2 linked regions of the Bombyx mori genome follow. The protein of the gene in region 1 binds, or shares a complex with, the protein of each later gene. Links are inferred from orthologs where the notes say so. Each region holds a gene or a part of one and is shown in the gene's direction. Other genes may lie near its edges.

What was found. The genes of interacting proteins can lie anywhere in the genome.
Region 2: thioredoxin-like protein 4A (region 1) and U6 snRNA-associated Sm-like protein LSm6 share a complex: the UniProt entries of both Homo sapiens proteins name them as parts of the precatalytic spliceosome. The link is inferred for Bombyx mori from reciprocal best matches to the Homo sapiens genes TXNL4A and LSM6.

What each region holds. Positions count from the first base shown.
Region 1 is NC_085120.1:13,294,246-13,298,187, reverse strand, and holds thioredoxin-like protein 4A, read left to right. Parts: upstream 1-1,132; 5' UTR 1,133-1,942; coding exon 1,943-2,020; intron 2,021-2,311; coding exon 2,312-2,448; intron 2,449-3,107; coding exon 3,108-3,321; 3' UTR 3,322-3,531; downstream 3,532-3,942. UniProt on the Homo sapiens protein: Plays a role in pre-mRNA splicing as component of the U5 snRNP and U4/U6-U5 tri-snRNP complexes that are involved in spliceosome assembly, and as component of the precatalytic spliceosome (spliceosome B complex).
Region 2 is NC_085134.1:2,613,343-2,617,617, forward strand, and holds the start of U6 snRNA-associated Sm-like protein LSm6, read left to right. Parts: upstream 1-1,463; 5' UTR 1,464-4,101; coding exon 4,102-4,192; intron 4,193-4,275. Other genes in the region: GATA zinc finger domain-containing protein 1, read left to right, coding at 1-228, 467-653, 1,151-1,317. UniProt on the Homo sapiens protein: Plays a role in pre-mRNA splicing as component of the U4/U6-U5 tri-snRNP complex that is involved in spliceosome assembly, and as component of the precatalytic spliceosome (spliceosome B complex).

The sequences.
Region 1 (3,942 bases):
TTTGTAGTTGAGCTCGCGGGGCTCAAACCTGATGACGTTGCTAACACGAACCCTAGCAAGACCCGTGCTTCGCAGAATCTACCACCGGATCGGAAACGCGACCCACTGAGAAGATCCGGCGAGAAACTCAGTGGGCTGTGTCTGAGAGTTAATTTACTCGTCGAGCCCTTCGTCGCAAGCGACGGGTTCGACGAGAACGGTGACCGGTACTTGAAGTACCTAGAAGCACCGTTAGTGGATCGGGAGGATCCGAGATGACGTGTTTTGGGCGACGTCGACTGCTTTCCATTCTGTCCGCAGGATCGGGAATGTAGTTACCGGCGGCCACGATGAGAGGGTTCTCGTGTCGTGCCGCTTTATCGAAGTGGCGCATCGACGCCGACTGTAGATACTTACTGATGGACTCTAAGTCCAGGTCGTCATGGAGGTCGACGTTCCTGACGAACCACGGGGCTCCGACGGCTATCCTGCAAAAACGGGATTGAATAATGTGGAACGATTTTAAGTGAGTGCGGGCCGCGTGAGCGAACACTACACTTGCATAGGTCATGACGGGGCGTATGCAAATTTTGTAGAGTGTCACCTTATTTCTAAGGGACATTTTACTTCGCCTACATATCATCGGGTAGAGACGTCCTAGAATGAAGGCGGCACGGTCGCGTACCGTCTTGATGTGAGGGCGGAATGTCATCCTACTGTCGAGGGTGACGCCTAAATATTTGACCTTCGGGGCCCACGGTATGGGCTGGTCGAACATCGTGATTGGGCGAATGGCGGGGGCGGAGGTGTTGACGCGCCTAGTCGGGAGGGGGATGCTCAGCGTGGTGTTCGGAGGGCGACCCCTTTTGAAGAGCACCGCTGTGCTTTTCGTGGGGTTGATGTCGATTCTAGTGACGACTGCCGGCGCAGCGGCTGCGCAGTGTCTGCGCCAGCCGAACCTACGTCTCGGGGGGAGGTGGGAACTATTGTTGTCACCTCAGCGGTACAATCGATAAAATAACTGCTTTGAACATAAATACTTTTGTTTTAAGGTTTTTTTTATTTTCTTTTTTTATTTTGCAGACGATTTCAGTTGTAACATTACGTTACAACACCCGCACGCTAAGCGGAACCCTAAAGTGTCGAACAACGCCGTGCGACCGACGCCGCGACGCCTCGCAGGATTCGTAAAAATACGGAGGGTCGATAAAGAAAAATTGAATAACGCGCACGCGCCGCGCCGGTCGCTGCACAAAATTATTAATTTTATTTAATTTAAATCCTATAACCTATATCCTATACCTATATAATTTAATTTAAATACCTTGTTGTACCTATAAGAGTTGTAACGATAAAATATATGATTAACATTAAAGCCTCAAATAAATAAACTTCACCTCATTTCATCCATATCATTATTAACTTCATATTAAATTGATATAAATAACAGAATAATTCCATGAAAGATTACGCTGTATGGACTGATACCTCCGCCTTTCTTGTTGGAAAATGGAACTGCTACTGTCATACGTCATACTGTGGTCTGTGATTTTTTTTAAGGTATTTTATGACCTGGTAAAAGTCAGTGTTTGTAAATTTACTCATAGAATAGTCATATCTTAATACCTACATATTATTAAATAATTATAAATTTAAAGTTCTCTATTTCACAGAACATTCTTTTTGTTATGAAGTAACAAAAAAGACAACGCCTGCTCTAAACTTTTTGAACACACTTCTATAGAAAACGTGAACAGTGACGAGAAACAAAATGTGAGAATAAAATAACTTTGGAATGTCTTAGATGTGAAAGGCAAATTTCAGTGAGCAAAATAATATCAATATTTGTTCAGTGGTCCTACAACACGATTATATTTTGCTCATAGCAATAGCAATTTCCAGAAAAAAGAATACAGGAATAATCGTTTGTTTGAAATAATACGTAAAGTAGTTTATTTGCAAAATGAGTTATATGCTAGGACATCTACACAATGGTTGGCAAGTAGATCAGGCCATTCTATCAGAAGAAGACCGTGTAGTGGTGAGTTTTAACTAGATTCATAGAATGTAGAAATCTGAGATTTAGTATCTGAAGACTAAAAATAATAATTATATTCTAACCTTACATCAATAGGTATTTGTTAAAGTATATAAATGCAGTAGAAACCAAGACCTTCAACCTTCTAGTATAAAAAACAATAGATTTTGAATTAAAGGAACTAACAAAATGCTTTGAGCCAAAACAGTTAATAGTTATTTAATTAGTGGCCTAATTGTCTTGCCCTATGATTCAACTATATTAAATGTAATTAATTCTAATTTACATATCTAGGTTATAAGGTTTGGACACGACTGGGACCCAACATGTATGAAAATGGATGAAGTATTATACAGCATTGCGGAAAAAGTAAAAAATTTTGCTGTCATATATTTAGTTGACATTACAGAAGTTCCAGATTTTAATAAAATGTAAGTATACCGTAAAACTACTTGTTCTAAATTTATTTCTGAAATTAAGATTTTGATAGGTTTTCTTAAAACCTTTGTGGAATACACAAGTCCTCCTACCTCCAGTGTTTTAAGGAAATTATGTTGTATTATTAAATTTGTTGTTTTATTAATTATTAAAAAAGTATCATAAGTGAAGAAGCAAAGAACTATGAGTTTTCTAGGAATTCTTAATAAGTCTGGTTCATACAGTAAATGAATTTCATTATCTACATTGTTAATAATTTTTTTCAAATTGTTGATTTTAAGACTAGAGTAGAACAGCAGTTCTTGATCACTGGAATGTTGCAAGTCAAGTGTGTTGTGAAAATTAGAAATACGATATTTCAATTTTTATTTAAGGTGATCTGGGAAATTGCATCTCAGGGATACATGTTGGTTAAATATACAATTGTTTATTAAATATTAACCATACAACAGTATTACATATGAGTGATGTAAATACCAACAACCATCACTCCCAACTATAAATCTTTGCATTTAAGGGTGTCATGTATATATAGAGTATGTTAATACATCATTAAGTAAAAAAGGTTGAAAGTTCTAGTCTAGTAGAAAGGGTCTAGTATATAAAATGACTAAGCAAGGCCTATAATAATATTATTTAAACTTATTTCTAGGTATGAATTATACGATCCATGCACAGTGATGTTCTTCTTCCGCAACAAACACATAATGATTGACTTGGGGACTGGCAACAACAATAAAATCAACTGGCCTCTCGAAGACAAGCAGGAGATGATTGATATTATTGAAACTGTGTACAGAGGGGCAAGAAAAGGACGAGGTCTTGTTGTCTCACCGAAAGATTACTCTACCAAATACAGATATTAGTTTAATTTAAAATAATGTTCCACCTGAATGGTCTAGTAATTTGTAATCATATCTGACATCATAGTCATCATAAATTTAGTAATGTAACTTTTTTTATATAAAAATAAGAACTATACATATTACATTATAACTCATGTGTTTTTGGAATTATGCTGTTCTTCCTGATATTAAACAAAGTAAAAGTAGAATAAATGACAAGTTTTATGCTGATGTAGATCCTTTTTTTTGTGTTGCAATATCTTCATCATTGAAAAAAAAAAAAACCATTATCAAAAATACTTTATTTTTATTTTTTATTGCTTAGATGTGTGGACGAGCTCACAGCCCACCTGGTGTTAAGTGGTTACTGGAGGTCATAGACATCTACGACGTAAATGCGCCACACACCTTGAGATATAGTTCTAAGGTCTCAGTATAGTCACAACGCCTGCCCCACCCTTCAAACCGAAACGCATTACTGCTTCACGGCAGAAATAGGCGGGGCGGTAGTACCTACCCGTGCGGACTCACAAGAGGTCCTACCACCAGTAAAATACCAGTAAAAGACCGATAAACGGTCGTGCCAAGGCCAAGAGGGACGAGAAGCCCTAAACACGTCATTTCGGATCCTCCCAATTCACT
Region 2 (4,275 bases), on another chromosome or scaffold:
GACAAAGATAATGGTAAAAATGAGGAGTCTACGCCGGCTAAAGCTACCGGCAAGGGCACTAGGAAAAGCACTAGATCAACGAGATACAAACCTAAAACACCTGCTCCACCGCCATTGAAGCAGCCGGCGCCGCGGGGCAGAGGACGCAGGAGTCTATTCAAAAGGCAGCCATTGAAAGCACCAACAGCTACAGCGACTGTTGTTACAAGTGATTCAGTATTTTATCAGGTCTGTTCAATTATTTAATCCAATTAAAATCTGTAGTTAGATATACAACAGCTGTAGAAATATACCTTTTTTTTTATTTTTCAATAATCTTGAGGCTATATCGCATACTAATTATAGTTTAAAAACTGATTAGAGATTAATTTAATTTAAAAAACCCTAACTTATTATTCACAGTAAACATGAAAACTTGAAAAATTACCTCGGTTCTGCTTTGAATAGTCTGTGGTAATTTTTTCAGGGTATGTACATGCAAGTTGGTGATATTGTTTCGATGACTGACATTGATGGTGGCACATACTATGCCCAAATTAGAGGCTTCCTAACTGATGAGTACTGTGAGAAGAGTGCAGCTGTTACTTGGTTATTACCTACAAAAGCGAGCCCACCTCCAGAGAAATGTTTTGATCCTGCTACATATATCATTGGTATGAGCTTTTAATAATATTTTAATTAGAAATACAGATATTTGCAACAGGCAGAAGTAGGTGATTAAAGTATTTATTCAATATCTAAGGCATTTTGGGTGATTTTTTTCATTTTGTAAATTTAGTGCTTTAGATTTTCCACTTGTAATAATAGTGACTCATTAAATGTGTATTCGATCAAAGCTCGTGAATAGCAGAAAACGAAATAAGTCGCTTGACACGGCATTTCTAAAAAGCCTGCATTGTTTGATTTCACTTCCTCTCGTCTTGTTTCAATCTATATCATGTAATTTCATCCCAATATAATGAATATAATGAAATAAACCAACTTAATTAAATTCAGCTTAATTTTTTATTTTTATTTTGTAAATATGATTTTTACTAACTCAATACTGGCAACAATAGCATCACGAAAACTCAACTGCCATATAGCAAAAAAAAGAATAGTGTATATAAAAAATGTGACAGTTAAGGTTAATATTGCTGTAAATTTTCAGGCCCTGAAGAAGAGCTGCCTCGGAAACTGGAATACATGGAATTTGTGATGCATGCTCCATCTGATTACTACAAAGCGAGCAACAGTCCATACCCACTGACTGATAATGAACTGAATAATTATACTGGTTTTGTATGGACTTCGATGGAAGCTAAAGAGAGAACGTAGACTTTTATATTTAAGCAAAGTGAACATTTTGTTACAAAAAAATACTGTTTATGTTTAGTTTTATTACCCCATATACCCCGTAGTTAACATTTATTTAAATTTAGAGCACAATTTGAATTTCGATATCATTCACAGTTATAATTTTTTTTTTTTTTTTCCCTACCTAAGCTGATAGCCCTAGCGGCTGTCAGCGTAACCCTAACTTTAGTAGGTGAGCTCACGGGGCTCAAACCTGACGATGTTGCTAACACGAACCCTAGCAAGAGCCGTGCTTCGCAGAATCTACCACCGGATCGGAAACGCGACCCACTGAGAAGATCCGGCGAGAAACTCAGTGGGCTGTGTCTGAGAGTTAATTTACTCGTCGAGCCCTTCGTCGCAAGCGACGGGTTCGACGAGAACGGTGACCGGTGCTTTAAGTACCTAAAAGCACCGTTAGTGGATCAGGAGGATCCGAGATGACGTGTTTTGGGCGACGTCGACTGCTTTCCATTCTGTCCGCAGGATCGGGAATGTAGTTACCAGCGGCCACGATGAGAGGGTTCTCGTGTCGTGCCGCTTTATCGAAGTGGACAGTTATCAATCATTCAATAACACACATCATTCACTTTAATCATTCAAACCAACCAACATTTTTTTTCCTCCAGAAAATTTGGTATAAGTATTCATAGTAGTAAGTAGTAACTATGCTGTTTCCCTAGATCACTGATATTTTTTTGCCTATCTTTCAATGCCCTTGAAGAAGTGGAGCGTATGGAAGCCCAATTATTTTCAGTTAACCTCTTGGGTATTGCATTTTTACCCTACCAAGAAGTTGTTCAAACTTTGGAAAAAGGATAATAGTAAGTCTGTTGGCGCAACAACTTGTGTGTATGGTGGATGCAAAAACTTCCATCCATACCTCTTGTAGCTTAAAGACGGTCGATTGTACCATATGAGGTTGAGCGTTGTCATATAGGAGAAGTGTGGACAAGCGATTAAGAAGGGCAGGCTGGAGATACAAAAGCTTCTTCATCATTGTATCCTGTTCCTCACCATACACATCTGTAGTAATGATGCTATTTGGTAGGAAGCTGTGATGAATTATACCAGAACAAAGCCACTAAACAGTGAACATGACATATTTAGAGATAGATTTTCATTTGAGGCATTGCCTTTGTACTGAACCTCTAGTCCATGTAATGTCCGAGTGCAATAATTATTCTAGCGCCCTCTAGTAAGCGTGCAATCAAGTTGGACTAGGAACAAATCTAACTGCACCAGGAGGACGGGACGGCGCGTCGGCGGCTGCGGACTGCGATGCGGTCCGCATTTTCGTCGTCGCTGTCGTCGCCGAACATACTGTTGAAGAGCAACCCGGTCGGCGGTGTATCGCGTTCCGACCCGGCAGGCTGGTTCTGGCCCAGCGGGGTATCCCGGAACACCAGCGGCACCACCCGGGCGGCCTGGTAGGGCCGCCGTACCGCGGAGACCGACGTCGTTGGTCGTCGACTATCGCCTCGACGACCCGTCGGTCGGGCGTCCTCGGGGTGGCGCCGCGTGTCTGGTTGTAGTGTTGACCGCGGGAACCCCCCTACACTGAACGGGTTCTGACCCCGGACGGAGATCGGACGTCGGGTGTAAGAGTGCAGGGGAGTCGTTTGGTGGGTGGGCCCTAAAATCCTTGGGCCCGCGATCTGCTCTCAACACCTGCAGATCGCTGAGTCTCACATACCCCGCGCGCCCCCTAGGCGCGGGGACCTCGTAGGAGGTTCGGCCCCCGGCCCGAAAAAAAAAAAAAAAAAAAGGAACAAATCTAACTGATTCATTAAGAATGCAGAGGCCGGTGCACCCTAAAACCGCAGCGCGCATCTGCAACTCACACACACCTCGCACCATAGGTAAAGTCGCCTCTAGTTCTGAATCAGGGTGTGTTTGCAACCCGCTTGATGACCGCTTATGATTATAAACAATAATCCATTTTTCATCGCAAATGACCAGCTTGATGTGACCGCTTATGATTATAAACAACATAATTCATCGTAGATGACAATATGCTTCAAGATACCCTAATGGGGTGACGATCGTTCAGTTCGTGTGGGGGTGCCACATATCAAGTTTTGCCCACCAACTTGACCCAAATGAACTAATATTCTTCTGATCCTAACGTTGAAAGCTGCAAAATGTTTTAAATCAAAACTTCTGTGCTGAACCGTACAGGCCAATCGTGCGTTCTTTTGTAGTGTTCTTTCCGTACATACACATTATTTCTTAAATACCAAACATAATATGAGCCGTTTTGCGGCATTGCCACGGCGACGGAACTCTCCATATTCACTCTTTTCTATCGTGTACATATTGATGTAAGATACATTATATTACAAATGTAGTGAAAACAAAACACTAATCAACAAACAAATAACTGGATTTGAAAATAGAATGTCAAACTTCTCGGCATCCTCCAAAAAGTCCACTGAAAAAGTCTCAGTAAATGACCACCATTTTACTGAGATTATTTTTCATCTCATAACATCTCATTTCAATTCATTACATTTCATTTCATGCCATGTTTCATAGTAATCAACTTCATTTCATTTCATAATATTAATACAATTTTTCATTTTAAAAAATTCATTAAAATTAAAATAAGACGACCTAAAGGTATTAGATACCAAGTCATAAAAACCTTTAAAAAAAGATCAAAAGTAATCAAAACACCCGCTTTGACCAATTTGAAAATTTTTAAGTTTCATTTAATGTATTTCGTGTCTTCAATTTCATCAGAATAATAAATAAACACAAAAAATGAGTCGTAAGGAAGCTTTGTCCTCGTTTATACAGCAGATTCACGGTCGCCCAGTTGTCGTTAAATTAAACAGCGGCGTTGACTATAGAGGTTTGTTTTCCTTTCAAATTTTATTTATTAAGTTAGTAATAACAATCACTTCGTCTTTTAAGAACCACATAGCTCTAAAATAC